Struthio camelus: one gene and its partner. The protein of the gene in region 1 interacts with the protein of each later gene in a biochemical or structural test. Links are inferred from orthologs where the notes say so. Each region holds a gene or a part of one and is shown on either strand. Other genes may lie near its edges.

Region 1 (14,451 bases):
TAAAGCCTCTGACAGGAAAGCATGTCTCCCGAACTGCCTCTGGAAACGCCGCGGCTCTTCTTTAGATGTTACTTATCTTTTCCTGCTAAGAAACCGCTGGGACTTGCATCTGGCCCGAGCGCAGCGCATCCTGCGCTCTCGCCAGCGCGGACAGCGGTTGCCCCGGGCCGGCAGGACAGAGCGAGGCGGGCAGCGGGGCGGCCCGTCCCGGGCGGGGCGCCCCGGGGATGGGCACCAGCCTCGCCGCAGGCGATGCGCGGCGGCGGCGGCGGCGGCGGCGGAGCGCGACGCGCTTCTGGCTCGTGTCACCGGCAGCGGCGGATCGCGGCGGGCGCCGGCAGCGGCCGGGCTCCAGCGGGGAGCGGGGCTCTGCCCCCGCTCCCTGCGCCCGGCCCCGACCTGGGGGACTTGAGCTCCTTCCCAGTGACCGAGCCGTTATAAGTCATCTGCATTACACCGGGGGAAGGGAGGGGGTGCGGGAGGGGGAAGGCAGGAAGAGGCTCTTAATCCTGGTGTCTTTGTTCCGGCTCGCACACATCGGAAGCCGGGCTGAAGCCGTGTGATCGCTTTTTATGGAAAAGGAAAGACATTTGCAGGCACTTTGGCGCATCCTGGCCGCCGGAGCGGGACGGGAGCCGGCAAAGGGGCACGGCGAGGGGCACCCGGGGACCGGCCGGTGCTGTCGGCGCTGCGCTCCCCTCTCCGGCCCGGTGCGTCCCTCCCAGCCCCCAGCACACACCCTCCCCGCTCCCCCACCCCAAAAGATCAAAAGCTCCTTGCTATTGCAAAAGGACTATTTTCTCAGGCGTCCTTCCCCACCACGGCTTTGTGAAAAGGACAATAGACTCCTGTGTCAGTGTTGTTGGCACCAGCCTTGCATAATACAGGAAGCAGCATTTCCTTTCGGGGGTGGAAAATTAACTTGGATCGTGCGTTTCTCTTTTTATTGCTGATCGTACACACCCCGGGAAATTCGGCTCGCTGGCTCTCGGGAAGGGAAGCGGCAGCAGCGTCCTCCCGCATCCTCCCGGGGCAGGGGAAGACCCGAGCGCGGCTCCGCGGCTCCGCGGCTCGCGGGCAGGACCGCCGCCGCCGCCGCGGAGGGCGCCCCACGCCGCGCTCCGCCCGCCCGCCGCGCTCCGCCCGCCGCGCAGGGGCGGCTCCGAGGCCGCCGGGCGCGGCCACCCGCGGGCCTCCCACGCTGCTCCTACCTGCTGGCCTCGGGGCCATCCATCACCCCGCCCCGCTCCCCCACCCCCACCCCCCCGAAGCCAAAACTGCAGCCTTTGGGCTGAAAGCAGAGATTTCCTCTTGGGGTGTAACCTTTGGCGATCCCGTGGGCTAAGGGTGCCCTCAGTGAATGGCGCAGGTTTCGGCTGCTGTCAGTGGAGCATCTCTTCTCCTGCGCTGCCCACTTCTTGCTCTGGGTTTGTCCCCTCTGTCCCTCAGCCGGCCTTGGGCTCAAGGCAGCGCAACGAGTCACAGCATCCTCTGCTACTCTGCATAAAAACGCAGCCTGGTTACCTGCCTTAGAAGAAGAAGCAATATACAAAAGCCTATGTCTTGCTGGGCGATCTTAACTTTTTGTTTGGGAGACTTTAACTTTTCAACTTAGCCTCTGCTTTTTTGACAGCCCATGCTACCTGTAAAGTTTAATTTCATGAAATAATCTTTAAATAGTTTCTTCCAATGATTTTAGCACTTGAACAATGCCTGTTCCAGAAAGATAGCACATTTGTTGATAAAACATTAAAATACCTTTCTAAAATACCTTACCAGCTGTCCCCATGAGATACTTACAGGGATACAATCTCTACTCTTACTCAGTTTAAGCAGACACAGGCCTACAGGCCTTACTGTGGGGCAGATTTTACTTCAGCAGAACTGGGCATGGGTGTGTATAAAGTATAATACACATTCCACAATGCGGTTGTTCTTTAATACAGTCTTCATTACCTTGCAGTGTTCAGGAAAATAAGAGTTTGAATTTGGTGCCTGCAATTGATCCCAGCTTTCATCTCTCTCCTCTGTCTTTCCCTTACTGGAACTGATAAAGAAGTCACTGGAAATCTGAGGATCTCAAGAGAAGACCTGCAACCAAAATCTTCTGATCTGCTCTTTTTGTCTTTTTTCTTTTGCTGACAAGTGCCTAAACCTCAGCTTAGATGTGTTGGTAGTTTTGTGAGGTAAGGATGCACATAAACAGTGTCAGCAGCTCCCAGTACTTGTGAGATTAAGTTATGTTGCACAGATCATTTATTCTCCTAGACCTGTGCTGGATCCTGTCTGCCGGACCTGGTGAAAAGAGAGCATTCCCAGACAGGCTTTAAAAGAACCAGATGGGCAGCTCTGAGGCTTGCGGAGTCAGCAAGCAGTCCTTCTCCCCCCCTCTCCCCCCAAATTATGCTGACCTGCCAGTTATGGTTTTCCTGCATTGAAGAAACCAAAGATATTAATTTCACAGCATGGAAATAACACTATTGCATCACTAAGGTAATACCTCATGCGTCACCACGAGTATCTCATAGAACTGGAAGTTAAACAATCTTCTAATTTTTCCCGTCAGTCGATTTTACTTCTAGATTTTCAGGGAAATGTTTTGTGGAAACGATAGCTATCTTACAACTGCTGTCCGAAAAACCCCAATCATGGCTACAAAATAAAAGGAAAGACAGTCCTAGTGCTTTAGAAAGGAAGTTCTTTAACTTCCCTCAGGACAGTAAAGCTCTCTTTAGCCTTCCCCTGTAAAATAACATCCTTGCTTCTTGCAGATGGACCTGGCATTAGATCTGATGTGGTTCTGGGCAAACATTGCAGCTGGCCTTCTGTCTTCCCACTTGTCTGGGGAATGGCTCGCAGTGCTACTGGCTTAGCCTCACTGGATCTCACAGGGGCCAGAGCTCCAAGCTTGCTCCTCCCTCCTGATACTGCTCTGCTTGCGTTAGTGTAAGTGAACCATTACACAGTGCAGGGAGTACACCAACCCTACCATCTGGGGTATATGTGGTGTAACCATATGCACTATGCCAGTGCTACAGGACCTTGACAGTGTTGCACGTATCCCACATTTCTCAGTGTGGCTCCCAAGATGCTCCTGTGAACATCATTTCTGTGGTCAGAAAACTGTTTGCTTTTGTTCACATTTTCTATCTGATTTGTTCCAAAATAATCAGAGCATAGGCATTCATGCACAGCACTGAGTCACCAGCCTCTCTGCAAGCAGCAGCTCCATGGGCTCTCAGCTTGGAGTCCTGGATTGCATTATGATGAGGGAAACACTAAGCCTCTAGGGGTTAGTGTTTGGGATGGTAAGAGGAAAAGAGCTTTTCATTGTAAGGCTAGTTTTCTTTTCATGGCCCAATATTTTCTTGGGTAGTTTTCCCTTTTTGACATGTTTTGGTTTGGTTTTGTGGTTCTTTTGCTGACCTTCTGGTTGTCTTTCCCACTGAAACGCAGTGACCTTGGCCTGAATTCACAGAGAAGAGATGCAATTGATTCTTTCATGTGGTCTTGCCTCTTTCTGTGCACTTATCCTATACGTTCATGTAGTGACAGCTCCAGAAATGGCATATATATCCTCCCAGACAAAAGGAAGAAGAAATCATTGGGGATTGGATTTCAGAAGCCTGGGAGATACAGCTGAACTAGCTATATCACCACCACACTAACCCAGCTATTCAGAAAGTAGGCCATTCCCATATTGATGCAGGTGTGTATGTGTGTGAGTGAGGTCTAGCCCATGTACACGTGCATATAGTAGAAATGCTTACTAACAGTCTTCCATTGTACTTGTGTTTTTCAGGGACAAAAAATACTGTTTCAGTTTTTTTTCCTGTTGTGTGAAATTTTGCTGAATAGACTTGTAAAATCAATTGTATAATATTTTGAAAGAAAATGTGTATTGCACCAGACTTAAGAGGGAGAGGGACTAAAGAGGGACAAAATCATGGGCGTTCTGCCATGTGGACCTGACGGGAAGGGGGGTAGGCGGGTAAATCGGCAGAGCCAAAATTGTGTTGGATCTGTCAGGGAGCACTGTGGGCCAGCTGCTTGCTAAGAGAGGGTGAGCCAGGCACCATGTGCGATTAGAAAGGCCGACGGGAGCAGTCACCCCACCTACAAGGAGCTGGGATGTGAAGCAGCAATCTGGGTGAGGATCGGGTCCAGAGACTGAGAGTTTGCTGCTCATCGGGCAAGCCTGCTGTGAGGAGGCAGATCCAAGGAAGCCTAGCTGGAGGGTCCAGGTCAGGGTCAGATGTGCAGAGGCAGGACCCTGGGTGCAGACGTAACTGCTCCACAACTGCGATGTAGCACAGGTGGGAGCCGGTGGTACAGCCTGAGCTTGAAAGCAGCTTCCAAGGGAAAGAAGGTTCAGGACCTTGCTCCTAGCTTTCTTCACAACAGTTATTGTCAGCAGAGGAGCTGACCTCGGACTAAGCCAGCCAAACTCCTTAGCTCAGCCAACGAAACTCCTGGAAGCGGTGTACGCTCCGAGCCCTGACAGGGTGTTCTGCGACCTGCACCAAGCTAGGCTGGAGGATTACTGGAGCTCTTAACTCATTAGCTTCCTCACCTCCTAGTAAACTACTAGGAAAACCTGATTAATTGCTCATGCCAGTTGATTAACTGTAATAAGAAATAATGAGCATCAGTAAATTATGTGCTCCCGTGGCCTCTACCTTCTTGCTGTGGTTAGATAGCTGCCTTCTTTACCTACCCCTAAGGTCGACTTAGTTTTGACAGTGCTCTGAATAGTCATATCCTTCTGTGAATGATGGGCAGCAGTGCTGTGAGATTGTCCTAAAAGGACTGAATCTTTGTTGCAGCTTTTAGTTATCTTACTCCACACACTGACCCGGCACAGAGCAGAGAGGCTGTAGAGTGTAAAGTAAAGCTCAGTCTTGCTGAGGGAAAGCACAGTCACAACCATAGTTGATGTCTTTGCCTGTGCTTCTATGCATATGCCTCATATATGCATCTGAGCAAGTACAAGTGGTTGTCCCATTAAACACTGTAGTACAGAGAAGAGGTCTTTCAGCTTTCTCTTCTTACAGTGCCGGAGAAAGATAAGGAACTTTACTTTCATTTAAATGAAACTTTGAATGTAGTACGTCCCTGCTGTTCATCCATGATTAATCCAAATAACAAAAGCAGCTAAAATTGGGAAGATGACGGTAAATCAAATTGACTTGATAACATGCTTCTCAAATTCTGTCCCTGACTTAGGGAGACGGAACCAAAGGAAATTAAAATAATGGTGACTGAGAACACTTCATTGACAAGGGACAGGGGAAGAGAGTTACAGGAAGGTCTTGGGCACACCCAGTCCATCTCGCCTAGGATATTGCTGCAGGCTTCAATTTCCCCAGGAGCTGGATGAGTGTGAGACGCTCCAACACTCTTCCAGCTATCACAGTTCACTGTGTCTCCCTTTGTGTGGCTGTGTTGTAAACCATACTAATGAAATTATTCAGGTTGAAAATGGCCCTCCATAAAAACTGGGCCAGTGAAATCCCGGGTTGTTTCACCAAACTGTTTTACACAGAGCTCTGAAAACAGTTGTGCCAGTGCAAAAGAGCAGCAGTGAACTGTAGTGTGGGGAGGAAGGGTGGACAAGGAGCACTGGATCCTTGCCTGCCAGCTCTGCCACTGAAAAAAATGTAATTTTTTTGGATGATTAACTGAGATATGCCTTTGCTTAAATTTTAGCTCCTGGGAGCACCCAGTCCTCTGTTAAGAAGTCAATTGGTAGATGCAGATTCTGCAGAAGACCTGCAGAGGGAGATCCAATCTACTTTGCTTTGATATCTTTCCCTCTCTCCCAACAGTGGGAAACCTGGGAATGTCTAGCAGGCAATCTAGCCTGCTGTTGTGAGGTGTGTACCTCTGTGCCATGAGCACAGGGGATCAACAGAAATCATTAGGTCCTTCAGTTCTCACTCCAATCCACGTAGTCTTTTCCTGAGGACAGGCTACTGCTGGTGCAGATGCTGGTAATAACGTTTTGTGTAATGCTCTGAACACTGGAACTGGTATCTCATGGAGCTAATTTTGAGCATCAGTGCAAATAAAAAAATTGCTACCATGACTGGAAAGAGTCAGGTCAGGCTGGGAGGGTATCAGCTGCTGGTATGAGTGGGATTTTCCAGGCTCTTTATTTTTTGCCACGTCCACGGGAACTGTCCAAGCTATTCCTCCCAGGAGACTTGGCTAAAACCTTAACTCAGGATGTGCCAGGTGTCCTGCTTCTAGCAGGGAATAGGATCCACAACCTCAGGATGTGTCCTAGTGACTTGACTAAGTCATATCCGGGTTGAGACGTCTCTCCACCCCACCTTGCTCTTGGGTGGTGTCTGTTTCTTTATAACATGTGCGTCTATTGCACAAGGCAGACCCAGGAAATGGGCTTGACCCCTTCCTCAGATGAATGCCCTAATTACTTGCCTTTTCAGTCAAATGTCCTATTGCTCGCTTTCTGTGGTGTTCCAATGAGTCTTGAAGGCCAGGGAGGGGGAAAGGATGCATATTGAAGAATTAGTGCTTTTGCTATCTGATAACTTATTTATCTTAGGGCTAGATGTATGGGTTGTTCAACCAAAAGGCTTGGCAGAATCATCTTACTCTAAAGCAGGGTAACATTCATGAACAATACAACGTACTGCTGGGCTGCAAGTGAACCCTTAAAACTGATGTCTACTGTGAGGGCTATTTCTTCTCCATCTTTTGCAGCTTCTATAGCGCTGGAGATTGAGCAGACAATCAGCCTTGCAGGAAAGATGTTTGTCTGCTATGTTTCAAAGAGGGCTTACTCTCAGCTGTTAAATTTGGCAGGTTTTCTTTCTAGCATTTGGTAATAATTTTTTTAGCAAATGTTAGAGAAAGGAGATTTCCCACTTTTCACAGCCAAAGGAAACATAATGCCCAAGGATAAGACTTGTCTGCACATATGCTACCTATTACTTAGTGCCAAACCTGAGCCTAAGATTCTGGTGTCAAGAGATCATATTGCCTGCAAGATGTACATTTGCCTGGAATGGGTCTATGGTTGGCCCATCAGCATTTGTATGGCCACAGCACCTAAGGCACTCTTCAAAATTAGCTCCCATCCGAGTAGCTATTGCAAGTTATGTCATAGTAGATACAAATAAGATCTTTCAAATAAGTTCCATGCTGCCTTCTCCTTCACCATACACTGTCCATCTGTCCAGATGCTTCAGCCTCTATGTTTAGAAACATAGATGTAGGTAGATGTGCCTTTCATCTACCTCCAGGCATATGCTTCCTATGGTGTTTTCATTCTGCCTTCTGAGAATATCTGCTGCCTCATTCTTGTCTGTATCTCCCTAAGGGGGTCTTTTTAATCTTCTTGCAGGCTCCACTGGCTTTAGTATATGAACTGGATTGAAGGGTTATGAACAGATCTTCAGGTCTGCCCTTCCTGTTCCTCAGTCCCTTGGGTGGATCAGGAGCTGATGACATCCGTTAGAGAAGGAAGGTGGTAAGTCTTGCCAAAGTGTTGTGGTCTTTGGAGGGCCATGACCAAATGCAGCTGCGGTGTAGGAGGTGTGAACAGGGTGGGAGCTGGTGTGGCATAGCTGCAGAGCTCATGATGGGGCCTGCATCATCACAGACTCAGCATGTACTCAGCACTGAGAAGGTCAAGGGCAGGGACAGAGAGTTCCCTTAGCTCCTTCCACAGGGAGCCCTTGCTCTTAGGGGGTCTGAGCTGTCAGGATGCCCATGGTCCTAATTCTGGTTAATCTATCCTCACTGGCTGACTGTTTTCCCAGTTGCTGTCCTCTCCACTGGAGGAGGTGATTTCTTATGAGTCATCCTCTTCAGGAAAGAAATTTTGGGGCTCTTCCCCCCATGGTGTAAGCAGATGAGGGGGAAGGTACCCATAACTATTTTATTTTCAAGGTCTCAGTTGGAGGCAGGATGATTGGAAAATATAAGCTTAAATTCTTAGCTTAGGGTGTCACTTATGAATAGGAATCTGACAGAAGCCTGCAGGAAATATTCTCACCAACTTTAAACTTGAAAGTTAAACAGTCCTCAAGTTAAAAACAACACCAACTTCTCATCTTTTTTCTTGCACAGGATGGTCTGGTGGGACACAGGAGATCTGAGTTCTATTTCTAGCTTCTGTCACCCGCTTCCTATGACCTTGGACTGGCTGCCTAACCTCTTTATGCGCCTCCATTTCCTCCTCTGTGAAATGGGGATAATCACATTTACCTGCCTCATGCAGAGACTCTTGAGACTTATTTCATAACATAAAAACATAGGAAGGGCCATACTGGGTCAGACCAAAGACCTCCTTCGCCCAATAGCCCATCTCTGGCTACAAAAGGGAGAAAGTGGAAACACATAGTGTAGGTTTTGTTGTCATGGGCTCCCTCTGGTCTCTCACAAAATAAAACAATCATGGAAAGCGTAAGGTAAATGCATGAGGAGGAGAAATACATTTCCAGCTTAGTCCTGGAAGTCATAGGGTCGATGAAGGCCGCCAACAGCACTGGGCACACTCCTGGAACATCTTTAGCCCGTGCTGCCTCTTTGCTGCCCAGAGTGCTCCATGCTGCTTGCTGGGGACCCCGTGCTGACCCTCTGGGGGGAAGGTGGGGAGAGCAGCCCCGGGCACCTGGCAGGGCTGTTCCCGGGGTGCTGCGGGTGCACGGGGTGCTGCCAGGCTCCCCGAGCGCCCTGTCCGACAGCACGGGAAAAGGTGGGAGTGCCGGTCTCACCTGGCCCTAACTCCACGCTCCTCACCACGGGAAGCACCGCTGGCTCTTTGCGGTGCAGGAGGCCGGCGCTGCGGCACGGGACGCCCCTAGCACTTCTGCGGGGAACCCGTCTGGTCTGGAGGCACGAGTGTGTTGCGCGCCTTGCCGGGCGGAGCCGGTCGGCCCCGTCCTACACCGCGGCGCCGACGGGGGCGGTGAGCCCCTCCGGGACCCCATCCCGGTGCGGGGCAGCCGCTGGGAAGTCCCCAGCGCCGGGCCGGGCGGGGCCGGGCGGCGGCGGCGGCGGGAGGGCACGGCCGGCTGGAGCCGGGCGCTGCGTCGGGGGCGGCGCGGGGCCGGGAGGGCTGCGGGAGCGCCCCGTGCCTGCCGTGGGGCGGGCGGGGGGTCCCGTGACGCGTCCCGGGGAGGGCGGAGGATGTGGGCCGGGGGTGGGGGTGCGCGGTGAGGGGTGGAGAAGTTATAAATCAGCGGGGCGGCGGCTGGCTGGTAATTGATGTCGGCGGGAGGTGAAGCAGGCAGGGCGGCCGGCTGCGGACACTCCCTTTTCCGCGGGCAGGGGCGGGCGGGGAGGGCTCGGGGGCTGCTGGATGCTGGTCCCGCGCCGCGCTGCACCGTTATCTCCGCCGCCGCGGGAGGAGCCCCGGACGGAGGAGAGCCCGTCGGAGCCCAGCCGGCGCCTCTGCCTCGCTGCCGTCGGCAGGGGAAGAGCCCTGCGCTCCCCGCGGGCAGGACCATGCCCTGCCAGCTGCTCTCTGGGACCGTGCTGCTGGGGGCCGCCCTGCTGCTCGCAGGTAAGGCCCCTGCCCCGTCGCGGGGCTGCCGCCCCCCGGACCCGAGCCCCGCTGCCCCTTGCCCATCCTGCTCCCCCCACACACCCCCGCGGGGATCTCCGCGACGCGGCCCCACCGGCTCCCTCCTCGGCGGGGTCCCGCACCCTCCCCGGCCGCCGCTTCCCACCTGCCTCCCCTCGGCACCCGGCGGCTCCCCAGAGCCCCCGGCGGGGGGGAGGCGACGGCCATCGCGGCTCCTCAGAGAGTCGGGAAAGGCCGGATCCCGAGGGGGCTTCACCCTCCGGCTCCCGGCCGCCTGCCCTGGGGCAACAGCGGGAGGCGGCTGGAGAGAGGCGCGCCGGGGCGCCGGCGGGTGCGGAGCCTCCGCGCCTCTCCCGGGCAGCCAGCGGTGCCGGCGGGGAGCCGAGCGGCCGCGGGGGGCCCGACCAGCCCCAGGCGTTGTCCCAACCGGTGCGACAGCATCACGGAAAGAAAACAGGTCTAGGCTCCAGGGCAGGCTTTTTTTCTTCCCCTCTTTGTTTCGAAGTGTCAGCCTCTCCCGGTTCTACCCGTTAAGTAGGAAAGGAAGGTTACCCATTTCCTTCGCAAAACACACATCCTCGTGGCCGCCCCCGGGCAGGACCGCACGTCCGCGGAGCACCGGCCGGCGCTGCCTGCGCGTTAAGGGTGGCCGCGCTGGAGCTGCCTAGCGCGGACGCGCGCGGAGAGCGGGAGGGCGCTGCTCGCCGGCGCTGGCCTCGCGCAAGGCTGCGCGGTGCCGGGATAGAGGAGCGCACAGATTTGTTCCTCCTAATGGAGTTACATTTTACTTTGGGAGAGGAGCTTGCCCTGCTAGGCCGGTGCGCCGTGAGCTGGAGCGTGTGCCCGCATGGCATTGCTGCTCGCCGGGGAGCAGGGCTGCGTGGGGCCGGGCACGGTGCCGGTCCCGCGGGAGCTCCTCGCTGCCGGTCTGCGGAGCTCCCCGAGGGGCAGGTCTGCGGCCCCGGCAGCCTCCGCGGGCAGGCGCGCAGCATGGTCTGGCCTGACCGAGCTTGGGGCGAGGGCAAATCCCGCCGGGAGAGTGGGAAAACTGAGCTCTCCGCGGCCGTCACCGAGGCCAGTGACCGCGCAGCGCGGCGTCTCTGTGGTCAGGGCTGCGGCCACCCGACCTGCGGCGCTCCCCCTCACAAGTGGCCGAGGGCTCGGGCTGCTCCTCCGCGAGTGCCCGCGGGAGCGGCCCCTGCGTGGCGCGGAGCGGAGTGATGCCCGCGGGAGGGGCCCCTGCGCGGAGCGGCGCGGAGCGGAGTGATGCCCGCGGGAGCGGCCCCTGCGCGGAGCGGCGCGGAGCGGAGTGATGCCCGCGGGAGCGGCCCCTGCGAGGCGCGGCGCGGCGCTCCTCGGCGGCTGCCGGTGCTGCCGGCCGACAGCAGCCGCGTCCCGGGGCTGCCCGGGGTGACCGCGAGCAGGGGCTGCTCTGAGGAGACGTTTTCCTACTCGGGAAAGGCTGATTCATCAATTTATATATATATATGTATGTGTGTATATATATTTGTTTGTGTGTATGTGTGTCTGTGTGTACATACATTTTCCCCCCCGGGAAAGTGCTATTTTTCCCGTATTATTTATCCCTGCCAAGGAGGTTCTCATACCCAGGATGAAGTAGGCACAGGCACGGGACGCCTGCCCTCGGTACAGGAAATGTTAGTTCAGATCCTTACTAGGCTTCCTTCAGAGCATGGGCTTGAACTCCAGTGTCCGGCTCCCACATGTGCTCCTGAAGTGACCAGCTACTCTGGGGCACTGGCTTCCTCTTTCCTGTTGGAAAGGTTTCCCGTTGTGCAAATCATGACAAACCACTGCCCAAAGAGAAGATGAACTCTGTGATCCAAGGGCTGTGAGAGACTGGATCACTTTCCTGTTCCCCGTGCTACCCAGGGATATATACACCTTAGAACAGCTCCAGTGGGAAAAGCTAAGCTTGCTTAGTGGAAAAGCTGGTGCTCTGGGCACTGGACTACCATGAGGTACATCCTGGGACTGGCTCAGGCGCAATAGGTGCTGGAAGAGTGCTTTGTTGTAGTTTGACTGAGTACCTTTGCAACCTCTTTGCTGGCAATTCCCTCCCTTCCCCCCAAGTATGATAAGTTAAGGTCCAAATCAAGATTAGGACTTTCTTGAAATTGTTCATCTTGTTACAATTTGTTTTGCTGAAAAGGAAATTGTCCCTTGCACAGCTTTGTCTAGGCATTCCAGATAGGTTGATCGTGCCTCTTCTGAGTCAGCAGTAAAACTCTCCGTACTTGCATTTGCACCTGGCATTTTAAAATTACGGGTGAAGTGGCGGGATGTTTTATACCATGCATAGATACTCACAATACTTCTCTTTCCATGTCATCCTCCTACACTGCTTGTTTGTCTAAAACTGTTACTCAGGCTGGTCAGCGCTTCCCCTTTCAAGTGTTCTTGATGAAACTCGATTCATCACTGCCGTGCGGTCCCCTGCTGTGGTTTAATCTCGAAGGGCATCTGCTCAGCTCCCATTGACCAACAGGTACTGGAGTACATTCACAGAAAAAGTCAGTAGTTCAGGAGTTACTGCAGACAGTTTCATAGGGAAGGGACAGAAGGAAGTCTTTTAGCTTGTATATGTCTAAATTTAAATCTCCCCAAAGCAGTATGCAAACTGCAAGCCACGAGACTTCCCATTTCAAAATGAGATTAAGGAAATCATATTTCTTTGACTTGTGAGTGCTGGGAACTTTAGTCCTCTGATATTTCTATGCATATGCATATTTTGTGTTCTCCGCTGTGATGTGGGAAGGAACAATATTTTTGTATCTGTTCTGCATAGTGTTTGGATACATTTGCTTTATAGTTTGTATATATTTAGTCCACAAATTATATCGAATACATTTATGCTAAAGCCTGTATACATAAAGGTCAAAATGAAGACTTTGGGGCCGCATTCAGGTTTGATTACCCAGTCCTAGACTGTATGACAATCAGTTAATCAGTGGTGTTTGGGAATGAGACGGACTGGGATTAAACCCTAAAAAGACCAGATTCTGCCGTCTGGAGCAAGGACAATGTGGCCACATTTCCAGAAACATGAGACAGATAAATCAGGTTTATTTTCAGCTGTCAGCACATGAATGATACCTGACAATTATCGGTGAGGAGATAAATCTAATCTAACACAGTCTTACCCATGGACAGTCCTATATGAATCTGAGATATCCTGGTGGGAACCAGATACATTAAAATCCTGAGTGAATGATGGATTTTTCAAAATCCTGGTCAGCTGAGAAAAAATGAAGGAAGAAGTTCTAAGTCAAATCTAAATAGCACTGATATTAATTTCTTACAATAACTAACCTGACTTCCCTAAAAGTGCTATTCAGACTGAACTTCATTCATATGTAAGGTTTCTACTTGATTTGTGTACTCAGCTGAAATAGCTTTACAGGCACATAGTTACAGTGGTCTAACTTGAGATTAGGGATGGAAGTCTTCATGGAGCCCTGAAAAACTGGGTTTCCCATGTCTTCTGGACTTTTATGGGAAATGGAGTCCCTTAAAAATTTAAAACTGTGTTCACAGAAGGCTGAGGACTTAGAGCCTAATGTGTAACGCAGATTCGTAAAGCAAGTATACATTGCGTTTAAGTACCAAACTTTCTGATATTACTAAAGAATATCACTTAGCAGTGTTTAACCAGACAGATGTCTTGCTCATATGCTCTCACAAAGCTGGATTCATTCGCATACATGTGGCTGTAAAGTGGAGTGATTCCTTCGGGCTAAGCTAGCATATTCTAGATTTATAGTTCACATAGGAGGAAATCAGGACTAAGCCTCTAGTGTGGTAAAGATCTTCATATCCAAAAGTGCCCAATGCACTTAAATCCTTAAAACTTTCTCATTAGGGAGATTTAGTTTTGTTTTTAACATGCGAACAATAACAAAATAATAACAAACAAACTGAGCCTCTTTTTTTTCAAATGCTTCAAAGACTTAAACCGGTAGCCCTTCACACTGTGTGGGTGTACAGGACAGAAGGAAATTGCCCAGATTTTCAGGACAGTTGCTGAGTCCTCATACTTTAATGTGGTTTGGAAACTTCAAGCGCAGTGTTTATCAAGTTGCTACTTTTTGTGTCCGACTGAGATTGGGAAAGGAAGAGACTCAGCAGATGAAGGTTAAGGTTCGGCATTTCAGAAATCTGTGTCCAGTGGGGCTATGGTGGGGCTTTATCAGCAAAATTCTTCCTTTGAATCTACTCAAGTTAGGGGCTGAGACTTCCTATTGCAGTTCCAGAGGGAATGGAAAGAGAAACTTGGCAGGAGTGCAGGGCAGCTCTGCCATGAAGCCTAGGATGGCCAGCAACCACAGTCATCTCTGCTGCTGGAGGCAAGTGCCTCTTACTAGTATGAGGCCTCCATGCAGCAAGCTACTCCCTTCACAGACTTCCTTTTTCTTTATATCTCACCTCCTACAACAGTCTGTTTTTTATCTTCATATCAGTATTTGTAAGAATGTCCCCACATTTGAGCACAAGAATTGCACTCATGGACAGCATCAGACTCCTTTCTGTTTGACCTTGTGATGTACCTTTACTACACATATTCCTTCAGCTAAGAAACAATTTTCCCCAGCATTCCCAGCTAGGAATGGCCTGATTTCTTAATATACCATGTGGGAACTGTTCATCCTAAAATTGGTTTAGTGATTGTCATGAAGATGCCCGCACAGTTTTCTCTTACTAGAATACAGAAATTCAGATTCATTTGCCTGTTAGCACTGTATAACACTGTGTGATTAAAAGGAAAAGTTAGATATCCTGCAAGAAACAGTTTGAACAGTGAAAATGTTGGCATTAGCGCCCAAAGCCAAGCGTGGCACAACATTGTGCCCATTTTGACCAGCAGAATGAGT
Region 2 (14,449 bases), on another chromosome or scaffold:
GGCAGTGAGGTGGCGGCACCACAGGATGGACTGGGAGATGGCAAAAAAGGGCTTTGTAGCTGCCGGAAAGGAGACAGGATGCTCATGCTGCCAGCTCCTGGCTCTGACAGATTTTATTGAGAAGAGCAAGGCTGGGATGGGGCTGAGAGCACAGGAGGGGCCCCCAGCACCTCCCATTTCCTCCCTTCCCCACGAAGAGGGCTTCCCAGGCCAGCTCCCTGCCTGGGCCTGCCCCGTGCCAAGGCTTGGGCAGATGCAGCCCTGCAGCCTTGCTTCTCCCAGGTTTCCTTCCTCCCCAGCTGTGCAGCAACTGCTGCCACCACCCTTGGAGCCAGCTCCCTGTGTAATATCATGCTGTCCCCAGCCCACTCCAGCAGCACATCTACGAGCTCCCTGCCCTGCAAGATCCCCTGGAGCACCAGCATGCACCTCGGGCTCCTCATCCTCACCCCCAGGCCTAGTTAGGCATCCTTCTGTCCCTGCTGCAGACGGCACACAGGTGGAGGGCAAGGGAGAGTCCTTCGCTCCAGGGCCGTGCTCCTGCCAGGCGCCAGCAAGAGTCCAGTCAGCCCTTTCCTGCCAGGTGCTCCCTTTAGCAGCCGTCGCTCCCCAGCCTCCAGGCTGCGGAGGGGCACAGCTCCGTAGGTCCAATGTGCTAGGCAGAAACGCAACTGGCTCAAACCCCGACGGCAGGAGGAGCGGGACCACAGGCACAGTGGAGGCTACCTGCGCGGCGTGCCACATCTGCGAAGAGAGCGTGGCACAGGGTAAGCACCACAGGTCTGCATGTGCCAGACAGGTCCACGCTCACCCCAACTGCAAGTGCCCAGGCTTGGCCCTCCCCTGCACCCTACTTCTGTCACCAAGCCATGGGCAGGGTCCATGAGCAGCCTCTTGGGGGGCTGGGGCTCATGGAGGACAGAGGGGGACATGGCTGTGTCAGGCCCAGCATGCTGGGATGTAGGTGCTGGCTGAGCCTTGAGCAGCAAGTGTCACACAGCAGGAAAACAAAACAAAACACGGCAGGAAAATGCTGACTTCAGGCTCTATACCCCAGAAGTGTCCACAGCAACAAGAGTCCGGTACAGACTGCTGCATCAAGCGGTTCGGAGGGGTCAGCTAAATATAAGGCCGGAAAGGACAGAGTAACCCAAACAACGGCTAGCCAAGGACTGCAGTAAGGACATGGCTGGCAGCAAGATGAGGCTGAAACTGGAAATTAATGGATATATAAAAAGTGTGGTCTGTGATGGCAATTTATCTACACATCATCGAATCATCCAGATCTGTTCCCCAGCCCCATGTTTTGCACCGCTATTCACAGCATCAGTTAGACCTAAAAACTTAACTGTTTATTCTGAACAAATTAACCTAAAAGACACAGCCCGTATCTCCCCCTGCTCACTTACAGTTCACAGTCTTTACGTCTCCTCTTGTTTTGTCTTCTCTTACCTCGGCCCTTTGATCTCCTCCTTCAAAAGAAAAGGAGCGCAAGAGACTGACGTGTGGGAAGCGAGAAGCAGTACCCCCACCTGCAGCGTCTCTCCCAGCGCCACTTACCTCCCGAATTTCATCAGGTCCTGCCGCGGCCTGGGGAGAAAGGACAGAGGGGAAAGGTTACTTGGACAGTGCTATCTATGGAGCTTCTGGAGGTGGTTTATTGAAACACTTCAATGCGTAGCACAACCTAGATGAGTTACGACTCAAGCTTAGGACAGACCCAGCACGACTTCTCCCCACATTATCAACTCCTCACCCAGTAGCAGACTGCAACATGCAGAAAGAAAAGAGACAGCAAAGGGGCAGGAGATGACCGACTGCTACAACTCCCCTGTGGGCCATGACATTTTGCCCATCAGGACATGAAGCATAGATTCAGTTTTTAACTGCTCTCAGGGACTGTTTGCATTTCCATATGCCATCTGCTCTATGAAGAGTCCCAAGTAACATACAGGATTTGCTTCAAAAATCTCAGTTCTCAGCAGCCATGACATACTTGGACTCACTATTCCCAGTAGGAGCCCATGCCGAAGCTTCCACTCCACTTCTGCTAAAATTCAAAGAGGAACAACATAAGGATGAGGAAAGCTGCTTAGAGAGAAGCCAAGAGTGTTGCAGATACAAAAAGTTTACATAGGTTCAAAGGCAGACTGCACAAGTACTTCAGAGATCCGCTGGGAGTTACCCTAAGTAGGAAAACCACATCAGGCTCAGGAAATTCCCTGCAGGGAAAGTAGCTGGAGGCAGGGGGAAGTAACGCATGTGCTGGTTCCCACTCCTCCCTACACATCCACCGATTGATTGCTCTGGAGACAGCACTGAGCTACTCGAGCCATGGGTCTGCTCCAGCACAGCCATGCTTATGGCTACAGGGGGAATACCGGCACAGGGATCCTCAGGCTCTTCCAGGCAAGGATCACATCCAGCAGCTGCCCGGCAGGACACTCATTCCCCAGTTTTTGCAATAACAAATTGTCTTCAGGCTGTGATGGAGAGCAGATGCCAAGATTCGCCGCATGGGAGAACAGACCCACGAGGTGGTGCTGGAGAGGCTCTGCACCAAGGGCCAGTGCTGCTCCAGCTGCATGCACGGAGCCCAGACCGTCCGAGCTTGCACAGCAGCGTCAGCACTGCAAGAGGTCCACATCGTGCCCGGGCAGTGCCATGTGTCCGGGCCGAGTCAGTGCTGTGCATCCGTGCCTGGTCAGGTCGGTGCCATGTGTCTGCACCAGGTCAAGCCTGGGGATTTTTAAGCTTTCGTTTGTCAGCCCAGACCCCTCCCTGTGAGTCAACCCAAAGTCCCCATCCCCAGATGGGATGGCCCCCTCAAGATGGGGATTCAAGGCTCAGCACTTCAGCTTTCTCTCTAAGCCACAGTCATCCTCGGGTGCGCCGGGGCCAGGGCTCTTCCCCGAGCCAGCGCCTGGGGCGAGCTGCCCCAAACCAGCCCTCGCATTTGGGGCCACCAGCCTTGCCCAGCTCTCGCCAGGCAGCTCACAAAGGCTGCCTGCAGCAGGCCATTTGCCCGGGACACACGCGCAGCAGCGCCACAAGCTGGCGAGGCTGCTCTGGCTGCAGGGGCACAGCGGTGCCCAAGGGTCCCCACCTGCACTCGCAGCGCTTGTGCTCAGTGAAGGCCATCTCCACATACGGCGCCTCTCCGCTTGGCTTTATCTTCAGGAGCTGAAAGAGGAACAAAGGTTATTGCCTGGTGTGCAGGAGCAGACGTGGCTGGAAGGACTCAAGGCACTGTCTCGCCTCCTCCACCCCGGGGCATGCTCGCTTCACCCCAGCCTCTGGGCCCCCAGCTTCTCATATCTAACCTGCTGCTCAGGACCTCCGGCAGCCGAGCCTCCACCTCTGCATGCAGCTCAGCCAGGCCCAGCAGCTCAGGAGGCTCTCCGGGTGCCTCGCTGTGTCTTCAGGGCTGAAATTTAAGTAAGTCCCCTCTTCTTGGGACTTCCCAACCTTAGGGCAGATCTCCTGCCTCTGTGGAGACCTTTCACATATTTGACCACTTGGCATCTTTTCCTTCGCTGAACTAAATCTCTCTTCTAGGTCATGTTTTCTAGACCGTTCCCACTGCTGCTGCCTCCTCCTGCCCCCTTCCCACAGCCTCCCGAGGGCTCCCCAACCCAGGGGAACAGGATTTGCCCTACCACGTGTCAGTCTGCACCACCTAGCCTGGAGTTTGGGTCAGACGTCTGGGAACGTTCCTCTGTGGCGTGATCCCCACTAACGCCCCGCAGGAGCGCTCCTAGCCCAGCACTGCCACCCCACACGCGTCTGCTGGATCCTGACCGCCCTGGAGCTTGGGGAAGTGCCGCCTCCTCCTATTTATTTCAGACTTCTGTTCCACCTAACTCAAGATTGTTTGGGAATGCCAGCCCTGCCTTCCAACTTGCTTTTGACCCTTGAGGGGCCAAAGCCACTGGTGATTTGCTGCCAGCGCTCTAGTCCATCACCCATGGCAAAGCAGAGCTATTCGTCTGCTCCCTGTGGTGACGGCAGGTCAGTCTCTGACAGCACAGTGAGAGAGCTGCAGAGAGAGCAGGACAGCAGCTCTGCGCGTGGGGAAGAGGCAGCCAGCTCAGTTTGTTTAAAGCCCAGGATTTCCCACAGCTCCACAACAGGACTGGAAACCCGGCATGCACAGCCCCTCGTGTTCACCCTGCCCCCGGGAAAAGGGCATCCAGCGCGTGCCTGCTGTCAGTGCAGGCATCTCCTTGGCACCCGGAGCCAGGATGCAGGGAAACCATTCCCTGCGCCTCAGGGGGAGCCGGTGCTTTGCCCCAGCAGGCAGGGTCTCTGGCCATGGGGACGCCCCTAGTGCGGCAGTGGGGCCCAGGGAAGGTCCAGCAAGGCAACAGCATTCAGCAAGACAGACCATGCAGAAGCAGGGCAGGGAAGCAGGGAGCAAGGCTGGTACTGCCAAGGGCTTCATCTACCCTCAAGGATAAGCCTTAAAAGCTGGCGGGGGGACCCTTCCAGTTTGGCATGAGTTTCAGCAGTTCTGAGTAAGCCAGACCCTCCCCCCCATCCCCTGTTATCCACACTGCTACCACGTCCTGAGGATGTGAAGCTGCAAGGTTCAACCTCCTGGCACCTGGCAAGGAGCCCGCTTCCCCGGCTGTCGCTGCAGGCCCTCACCGAGCCAGCGCTCACCTGCATGGTGACCGTGCTCGTCTCCACGGGGACGCAGCGGAGCCCCTCGTCTCCGCAGCAGCCTCCGCAGCGCTGCAGGGAGACGCAGGAGGGTCTGAAGATGTACTCCACCTCGTCGGGGAACTCGGTAATGACGTCCACCAGCTGCTCCAGAGGACGGCAGAAACTACGATTCCAGATCTCCCGAAAGGTCACAACTGGAAGAGACCCACGGGGCTATAAGAAGGCGTCCAGAGCGCCCGGCACCGGCCCACCCTCTGACGCTCAGTACCAGGTGCCAGAACAGGACCTTGAGGTGGCAGGCACAGCAGCCGCGGCAGGGTGAGACGCAGAGGACCCCTTTGCACCCTCAGCAGGCTCCTCACTGCACTGGTGCACGGGCCAGCACAGTTGCCACATCCACCTCGATGGGCTCTTTCTCCCCCTGCCTGCCAGCTCCATCTCTCCTCAGTCTCCAGCCCCCCCCCTGCAGCTGGGGTCCCCTCTTCTGCCTGGTCCCTGGGCCTGACAGCAGCAGCAGCCCTGTCCCACAGCACACGAGAAAGCCGCCCCCACGGCCCCGGACCGCTGCTGCCGCCCCCTTCTCCCTTCCCCTCGGGCTTCCCAGCAGGGGAGAGCAGAGGAGAGGTGAAGCCGAGTGTTTGGGCCCCGATTCAGCAGCCCGCTGTCACGGCCAGCGCTGCAAGCCCCGGGCAGAGCCGGGCGCCGCCTCGCCCGCGCCGCTAACCCGCGGGGCGGCGGCGCCGGGGGCCGGGCCGGCGCTGCGGGACGCCGACGGGGCGAGCGCCCTCCCGGCTCCGTCCCGCCGCCCCGCTGCCAACTCACCGGGCGCCTCCGAGCCGGCGGTCCCCCGCGCCTCCGGGCCCTGCAGGGAGGGAAACGCGGGCGCTGAGCCGGGCGGCGGGCGGGACGGGGCCACGGCGGAGCCCGCTCCGCAGCCCCGGGGCGCCCGGCCCGACCCCGCCCGCAGCACCGGGAAGGGCTTTCCGGAGGGCGCCGCAGCCGCCGCGCACCGGGACGCCCCCTCCCTCCTTCCCTCCCGGGGGGGGGGGGGGGCGGCGGCGCCCCGCTGGCTCTCACCGGGGCGGGCGGCGCCCCCAGCGCCCCGGCCACCAGCAGCTGCAGGAAGGCACCGAGCAGCCGCATCGCTGCCGCCGCGCCCCGGTACTGCCTCAGCGCCGCCGCCGCCGCCGTCGGGCCCCCGCCGCCGCCGCGCACGCCATGCCGCCCCGCCGGGCAGCGGCCGGCCCCGCCGCGCCCCGCCGCCGCCGCTCCTGCTGCTGCTGCTGCTGCTGCTGCTGCTGCTGCTGCTGCTGCCGCCGCCGCCGCTGCCCCCGCCGCCCCGTCGCCGGGCCATGGGAGCGCGCCCGCTCCGCCGTCCTATTTCACCGCCGCCGCCCCGCCCCGGACCCCGGTCCTCCCACCGCCCGCCCCGGCCCGCCCCGGCCCCGGCCCCGGCCCCGGCCCCGGCCCCGGCCCCGGCCGGCAGCAGGTGCCCGGCCCCGGCGGAGCTCGGACGGCGGAGCGCCCCGTCGCCAGCGCCAGCGGCACCGGCACCGGCAGGCTGGGACCGGGCGGCGGCGGCTGCCGCCCTTCGGGCTGCGCCTCGGCCCTTGGTGACTCTGGCCCGAGCCCGGTGCGTCCGCGGGGCTGGGGAGCGGGAGCTGGCGGTGCCCCCGCCGCGCACCCCGGGGGCCTCTAGCCCTGCAGCCCTGGCGTGGTGCCGCGGGTCCCGGCTGCCTCGGGGGGTCCCTGCCGCCCAGGGGACTGGGGACACGGCGGTGGGCACAGCCGGGCCAGGCTGCTGCCGGGGCGGGGGCAACCGTCTGGCTGCAGAGCATTTCCCCAGAGCGGATCTGGGGGTGGCCAGGCCAAACCCCACTGCTGGGGGTAAATGCGGAGCTGCTCTGTGGCCTTTTCTGTTCTATTTTTAAGTCTGGACGGCCAGGAAAGCTGCAGTCACCGCGGGCAGGGAGGGAATGGATGCCGGCAGGCAACATGATCCACTTGGGGACGTGGATCCCAGGGTAATAAAGGGCTCTGCGTCCCTGCCAGGATTCACACTGCCATCGTCCCGGGAGAGTGGGGCGGCTGCTCCAGGGCTTCCCTGCCTGGGTCTGCCCCTGCGGCGCGGGGACATGTCAGCTGCCTGTCCCCCGCCCCACAGGCGGCAGAGGCCCGAGCACGAGCGGGTGTTCGGCCCCCAGGTGCCAGTGCTGCCGAGCTGGTCGCAGGGCCGCTGGTCCCTCGCCCGGCGCTCGAGCAGGGCGCTGCTGCGGCCACAGGAGCCCAGGAGGGGCCGGCCCAGCGCTGCGCCGTGCCGCTGCCCTGGTGGGGCTTGGTGGCTGTTGAAGCCGCCACCTCGGCTGGGCAGCAAGGAGCAGGTAAAGCCCTCCCTGCAATGCCCACGCTCCCCCTCCACTACCGCCCGGCCCCGGGGCCGGGGGAGCCCCCAGCTCCCTGCCGACAGCTTGGGGGCTGGGGGAGCGGGGGGAGCATTTCCTTCCACCTGAGAGCCCCGTCACAGGGCTGCCCCGAGCGGCAAACGCTGCCAACTTGCTCGAAAGACAGGATCCTGTTATTGCAAAGACCGTGACCACAGAGGGCCTCACGCCTGTCCCTGCAGGAAGGTCCCCTGGGGCCACCTCTCAGACACAAGGCCAGCCTCTGGCGATGGAGCAAAGGGCTCCCCCCAGGAGCTGTGTGGCCGGGAGACCAGCCCTTAATTGCCGAGTGCAATCCTGTTGCTGGGCTGAAGCTATTTCCTCAGAGGCCTTGGGCAGAGTTTACATTCCTGGGATGAGCATCCCCTTTCTGGGCCGCGTGGAGCACAGACGTGAGCAGAGAAATAATATTTGGATACTGGTAACCTGTGACCAGCAACATCCTCCTGCTAACGGGAGAAATATCCAGCTGGCTGGGGCCGTGGCCACTCGCTCTTCAATCTGTCATGCTCTTTCCGCGGGGGCCAGGCCTACCCTTCCCCAGCTGCAGGACGAGGCTGGATGTCCAATGCGATACTATAAATGCTCCGGCGCGTCTCTCAGACCGCCTCCCACAAGGCTCCGGGGAGTGGAGCTGCGCGTTTTGGGAACAGGAGATGGACGAGGCTCAGGGGAACAGCGAGGAGCATAAGGCAAATAGCGACATTTCCTTAAAGGGCAGAACACCTCCGCCACGGCAAACCTGCTGCAGCAGCCGTGGGCCGAGAGTGTCGGCTCGGGTATGCCCCCGCGTGCCTCTCCGCCTCCCTGCTCCGCTAGCCGCGCCGGGGAGGGAGGCGAGCGGGAAATGATGCGGCTTCCTTTCTGTGGGCGATCCTTGCGTGAGTCCAGCTGGGGCAGCGGGCCCGTGACCTGGCTGCAGCCCCGCAGCAGCACAGCCCTGCTGGGGTCTTCTGGATGGGGCCCGAAGGCAAAGCCCGGGCTGCCTGCGAGCCCTGAAGGGTCCCAGCACAGGCAGCTGCTCTGCCCTGGCAAACCTCCCCGCTCACTGCAGGCTGCGCGCTGCAGCTCTCGCTAAGTCCTCTTTTCCGTAAGACAGACCCATTTTAGGATCAAGATCCCCTCACAGGCATCTTCTGCCCTCCAAAACCTCACCTTCAGCATCTCTGATGAAAACAGATCAACAAAAACCTGCTTCCCTCTTAAGCTGACGGTATCCAGGACCTCCTGTGTCACCGCTAACCCCTTAGAGAACAGCCCTGAAAACCTCAGGTCACTATTTTTGTGCTGCTGCTATTTATGACACCAGACGAAGTTCGGGGAGGGTTGGAGACTTCCTCCCAGGGGAAGTGACAAAACCCGTGTGGTCTAGTGCCCGGCGAAGCCACCCCCGGGCTGCTGGGGCCGTGCTCCTCGCCCGGGGACAAGGCACCACCGAGCTCCCACTCCCTCCTGGCAGCTTAGCTAGAGCCTGCGCTGTGATGGGACTCTCCAAGGTCGGAGCAGCACAAAAATGTAACACGCTGGGCTCCTCAGGCTAGTGCTTTATCCCAGAGCACTGAGGGTTCGTCCTTAATTAGATTTGATTGCTTTCCCTAGCCATGTGATACGGCTGTTATTCTCCTTTGGTCCCCTATGGTAGTGGGAGGGCTTTCCTGCAGGTCGTGTCTCAAAGCGAAAGGCAGAAGGCTGGCAACTGCAGCCAGGCGTATCCATACGTGGGAGCGAGAAAGGACCAGAGAGCAAGAGACGGTGATGGGCATGGCCTGGTGGGCGGCTTCTCCCGGGCACAAGCCTTTCCGGAGACGCAGACCCAGATTTTTCTGCCAGGAGATCTCTGCTGTTTTCTTCAGGGGAACACAGAGTTGACTCCCACCCTCGTACATGAGCAGGGCTGCATGGATGACCCCTGGGATCATCAGCATTTCTCCTAGAGGAAACAGCCTGCAGCAGCCTGGCTGGGTACCTGGGACCCGAAGGGCTCCTCAGCGCTCCCGCGGTGCTGGGCACCGAGAGGGGCGCGCGGCCGGGGCTGGACATGGGCTGCGCAGCGTGGCAGCGTCTTCGCCGCCGGGTCGCCATCGCCAGCCAGCCAACGGCACGGGGAAGCCTGCGGGGAGCCAGCGCTGGGTGACGGCAGCAGAAAAGCTGATTTTAGACCTCAGAGAAGCCCCGGGTCCTTCCGCAGCCCGAGGTGCACCCGCCGAGCCGCCCGGGGTGGCCAGGGCAGGGGTGCTGCCGGCACCAGGCTGGGGCGTTGCGGGAGGCTGCGGCCGTGCCACGCGGCGCAAAGGGCGAGGGGAAGGGGGCTCGGTGCCAGCGCCGGGGTGGCGGTGCCTGCGCACCCCTCGCTCCTCGCGGCGATTCCTGTGGCGTCAAAGTCGCCTCCCAGCCCAGGTGTGCAGGGGGAGCTGTTTGCCGAGGAGGAGGCTGACAATAGCGGGAAATGGGCTGTGCTGCGCACCCCGAACATTGTGCCTTGCAGCGCCTGTTGTTGCTGTCCGAGGCGGCCGGAAGCGGCTGGCGTTAGTCAGCCCCAGCTGCACGTGGCAGGAACTCTGCTGTTTATTTTTGTTCCTCGGGGTGGATTCAGCCTCCCCTGGGGACCCACGGCCTCTCGGTAGGGCTGGCCAAAACTGCCGACACCTGACGGCCAAGCCTGGAGGAGCGGCGGGCTCCGGCCCCGGCGCTCAGCCCGCTCCTTCCCCGCGCCGCGCTGCCTGCGGGCCAGAGGTCCGGGCGGCAGTGCCGGGCCGGCGCGGCCCCTGGAGGGCGGCGGGACGTCTTCACGGGGGCGCGCGAGCGGGCAGTCCCTCGCAGGGGGAGCACGCCACAAGCCGGGCGACGCGCCCGGCCGTGGCTCCCGCCCGGCCGTTGGTTCCCCGCAGGTAGGCAGGGGCCGGGGCGACGGCACCGGAGAGGAGCTCTGCAGCGCGCTGAGGCCCCAGCCTGGCTCAGCTGCCCGCCTCCGCTTTCGGCGCACGTCGAGTTTCGCGCCGAGGCTGAGCCTGGGGCAGGAGACGCAGTCACCTTCCCACAGAGGCAAAGCTGAGGGCAGGCAGCAAAGCGATGCTGGTGACGGACAGGAGGGTGAAGGACCACGGGCCGCGGGGCGGCAGCCGGCGTGCCTGGCGGGGCAGCCACGGAGAGCGCATGCTGCTCGGCGCAGCGCTCCCGCGCCCGCCCGGCCGGGCAGCCCCGCGCGGCGGGGCTCAGCTGCGACGCGGCCGCTTGCGGCAGAGCGCAGCCCCGCGGCGGGGTGAGGCACCCAGGGAGCTGAAGCGCAGCGCCTGGCCTACGTGGGTACCTGCAGGTAAGCGCTGCATCAGCACCTTCCCCGCGGCGGGGCCGGCAGTCGCCGCGCCGAGGCAACAAGCCCTCGCGCGCAACGCTTTGGCGGTCCAGAGCGGGAAGCGGAGACGCAGCGCCCACGGCGCAGCTAAGCCCGCTCTGCCGGGCAGCTCCCGAAGCGCAGGCTGCCTCCGGGCGGGAGCAGAGCCCCGTAACCCCAGAAACACCCTGCGCGTTTCTCTCCAGCAGCTGCGGAGCGGCAGCAGGCGCCAGGCGCCGCCTCGCTGAGGCGAGAGCAGCCGCGGGACGAGGGCTGTGGCGCGCGCGGCCCTCCACCGCCGGCGCAGACGAAAAGCCGCAGGCCCAGGCGGGGCGGGAGGGACGGGGCTGCCCCCGCAGGAGCTGAGCAGCCCCTCTGCCCCTGGAAGCAGGGCTGGGTTGGGAGATCGAGGTTACTTCTCCATCAGAAAGCGAAGCCGTCTGTGGCTGCCTTCCCTCAGGCCACATCTACCGTGTGTGTCATCTCCCCCGGGAAAGGGGCAGCGGGTGTTTACGCCAGAGGAGGGATGCATGGGTAAAAATCACTCGTTCCTCGGCCCCTGCCCGTCGCCTGCCCCGGCTCCCACTTCTCCTGATCCAGCGAGCCCGCGGGCAGGGGCTGCCAGGCACTTTTCTCCCCTGCCAAACTCTAACACGATCCACGCCCAGCCCAGAGCCTCTGGCTGCTTATCATGTGGATGCAGTTCTCCTGCTTTTAGCTGTCATAATATTGACATAAAGCAAAATAATAGGGATGGCAGGACTCTGCCTGGCTCTGCAAGGCAAACACGCGAGGAGCAGGGGAGCAGCAGCCTCCTCTGGCGCGCCGGAGGGGGCAGCAGCCCGGGCTGCTGCCAAGCCCCGCTGCCCGGCACGGCTGGCCGAGGCGGGGGGCGCGGGACGGTGCGCGCCGGGGCCGCGCGCACGGCCTCTGCACCGGCTCACCCCGGCAGGGGCGAACGTGTGCGTCGGCAGGGCTTCGTCCGCGAGCCCGTCCCAGAACGGGGGTGGAGGGATGGCTCATCCCTGCCTTGCTCGGAGACCTGGCAGCCGCCGAAGAGCTCGCATGAGCGCCGCGGCAGACAATGAGCGCCGGCGAGCCCGGCGCCCAGCCGCAGCCGTGGGGAGCGCCAGAGCGGAGGAACTGTGCGGAGCTGGCCAGTGACCAGGAAGCAGCCCAGACTGTTAGTGTCACGGACCCCTCGGTGACCACAAAGCGGCTGGGCCGCGCTTTGTTTCACCCCCGGGGCCTGGCTTCCTGGAGCGGCAGCGGCGACGCCAGGTTTGCTCAGAAGCTTCCCCGAACCCGCTGCCCTGCAGGGAGGGACACATGCCGATCCGCCACGCGGCATCGCCTCCTCCCCGGCCGAGCCGAGCAGGGACGCAGCCCCAGCACAGCGCCCGCCCGGTGCCAGCGGGCTTTTCGCCTGCCTTTGCCTCTTGCGGCCGCAGCGCCGAGCAAAGCCAACACCTTTTCCGGGTGCAAAGGCCTGACGCGCCATTCATGAAACGCTGCCAACGGCGGCCCATGGTGCCTGGCCAATATCTGACCAGCCCAGCACCATGCTCCCTCGTCCCTCGCTCGGGTTTGTTTTCCTACATGATATTCAGTTATTTCCCACGCTTCCCTCACCTCTTCCTGACCAGCCTGGCCTTTGAACTCGCTGCCTCCAGCTGCTTACGTCCTGAGAGGAGATCTGGGGAACCGTGGCAGACTAACAAGCCAACAAGTGAAGAGGCTTCATATCCAGCAGAGGCGCTTTAATGCCAGCTTCCCATGCCTCCCCCTCCCTTCCCCGGCGGCCAGGAAGGGTGAGGGGCAGTCCAGGCTGCACGGCCCCTGTGGCCCCTTAGTGTGGGTCGCTTCCACAACAAGCCCTAGAAAAAACCATCCTGCTTCCCAGCCTCGGTCTCTATTTTAAGGCTACAAAAAGGAGGGGGACGAACAGCAAAGTCGCTGGCAGAAGAGATGATCCCAGGGCCGGATTCAGAACCGCCTACTTGTTTCCTGCAGGGATCGTGGACTGTGTTGGTATCGCAGAGGTCTGGCTGCAAGTTCGATTTGCCTGTGGGCGCTCGTGCTGATGCAAGGATGAGCCACCAGGTATTTTTCAGGCAGAGAGAGGTGTACATACCTGCAAGCTGACAAGCTGTGTCAGATGCTGTGCTAACTCGAGACACCGAACCGGTCTCGTTCCTCCCACTGGGCGCCTGCCGAAGAGCCGCGTTAGCCTGGCTAAGGCACCCTTAGCAAACCCAGCCGGTTTCCCCTACTCCATCTGGAGAGTTACAGCAGTTATGCTTTACTAAGAACGACCAGCTTAGGGGACAGTTGTTACCAGGAAAATGTATGAAGTCAAGGAAAACATTTGCTCTGGTACCTGCAGAGTCAGCCACAAATTTCAAGCATGCTAAAACTGCTGATGACTCAGGCAACGTTTGCGTGCTCCTCCAGACCCACACAACTGAGTTTTCCAGTTTTTCACATATCTGTTCTTGATCGTCAGCTGTTTGCTTGCGTTTTTGTCTTCTTTTCCTAGAAGCTCACATTTTAAACGTGCATTCAGCACTTGGTTCAGCCCATCATTTTCATTCCTTTAACTTACTAAGTGACCTATTTTCTTCCCTGTAGCACGTAGAAAACGCTGGTTTGGACTCCCTTAGCCCTTCAGCATATTCACTCGTGCTTCTTTACAGCTTTGCCTCCCTGGCTGCGCAGTCCTATCTGTTACTGCGGCTGTAATAGCTCCTTACTTGAGTCCTCCCCTACGTTTTTAACTCTGGCCTTTGAACAGGGACCTTCCAAGAAGCAGTCATATTAAACCAGAGATACCTGTGGTGCATCCTTCCCCTCGGACTGTGGTTTGTGTCCCCCCCCACAACTGCCGCACACCGCGCAGTTCTTCACTGCTGCTCAAAGTCACTTGTGTTCAGAAAGTGGCTTAGGCACCCAGTGACAACCCTAGGCTGCTTTTCCTCTTGTTGCCTATCCAGTCTTGACAGTAACTTCTGTAATGACAGCCTGCCTTGTTATTCTTGCAGGACCGTGTCTCTGCTGGCTTTTGCGTGCTGGCTCCTTCCCTTCATCTGCGCTGAGCATGAACAGCTCACTTTTCTTGTCCGGGTGTTACAGACGAGTCCAATTACTAGAGTTCAGCAAACTCTGGTTCCCCTCCCTGGCATTTCATCCAGCCCACTTGATCCGCAGAGAGTTTCTAATCCAAACAGCCTCCCAGCACACAATGTTCCAGCACTCCTGGACTTTCACCCAGCCTCCATCCTGCCTCCGCCTCCCTCACACTAGCACTTGAAGGGACTGGGGGATTAAATTCAGTCCCCCAGGAGACAGCTACCTTAAATGCACAACTTATTGGGTTGAGGGGGGGGGCAATTTGCACCTGGAGAGGGAGAGGGGTGCCTCCAGCAGCCATCCCTGACAGCAGAGCACCATGCTACCCTGAGGAGGTGAGCCAAGTTTCAGCTCTTCTGCAGGCCCAGAAAATGTGCGTGATGCTCCCTTGCTCAGCTGGCCAGCTCTTGCCCTGCTCAGCTTCCCTGCCTGCCCGCAGCCCCATCCGCAGTCCTCTCGACTTCCTCACTTGCTCGTGCACCAGCTGGGAAGCCCCCACAGCCAAGTCTCCCCAGGTGAACTGGATATACCTCGCAAGAAAAGCCGGGAGGACAGGGCAGGAGGCAGCTCTCTCTGTACAGAGCTATAGTCTGTGGCCACGGCAGAAGAGGGAAGGCAGAGGGTCTAGCTCCAGCCCCGTAACGCCCAGTGGCTGCGGACAGCCAGGGGAGCCTCCTGCCAGCTGCCCAGGGACGCACGCAGGGACCCCGCTCTCCACATTACCTGTGCTGCTGCAGCCGGCTCAGCAGGCAAGCCAGCAGGAGAAGCGAGATTTTAGCTGAGTGTATGGGAAGACTTGTCTTTCCAACTGCCTTCCCCACATGCCCCACATCCCCTGCTGCTCCCCTCGCCAGGACTGTGCCCCTCGCCCTCCTCTTCC

Evidence for each region.
Region 2: the proteins of FLT1 (region 1) and PGF are reported together in a solved structure, tested with the Homo sapiens proteins (2 studies listed by BioGRID and IntAct, with this or other methods). The link is inferred for Struthio camelus from reciprocal best matches to the Homo sapiens genes FLT1 and PGF.

Annotation. Positions count from the first base shown.
Region 1 is NC_090942.1:200,280,454-200,294,904, forward strand, and holds the start of FLT1 (vascular endothelial growth factor receptor 1), read left to right. Parts: upstream 1-9,226; 5' UTR 9,227-9,240; coding exon 9,241-9,538; intron 9,539-14,451. UniProt on the Homo sapiens protein: Tyrosine-protein kinase that acts as a cell-surface receptor for VEGFA, VEGFB and PGF, and plays an essential role in the development of embryonic vasculature, the regulation of angiogenesis, cell survival, cell migration, macrophage function, chemotaxis, and cancer cell invasion.
Region 2 is NC_090946.1:57,827,057-57,841,505, forward strand, and holds the start of PGF (placenta growth factor), read right to left. Parts: upstream 5,875-14,449; 5' UTR 5,812-5,874; coding exon 5,746-5,811; intron 5,531-5,745; coding exon 5,491-5,530; intron 4,863-5,490; coding exon 4,666-4,862; intron 3,184-4,665; coding exon 3,107-3,183; intron 1,591-3,106; coding exon 1,561-1,590; intron 1,473-1,560; coding exon 1,410-1,472; intron 745-1,409; coding exon 723-744; 3' UTR 1-722. UniProt on the Homo sapiens protein: Growth factor active in angiogenesis and endothelial cell growth, stimulating their proliferation and migration. It binds to the receptor FLT1/VEGFR-1. Isoform PlGF-2 binds NRP1/neuropilin-1 and NRP2/neuropilin-2 in a heparin-dependent manner.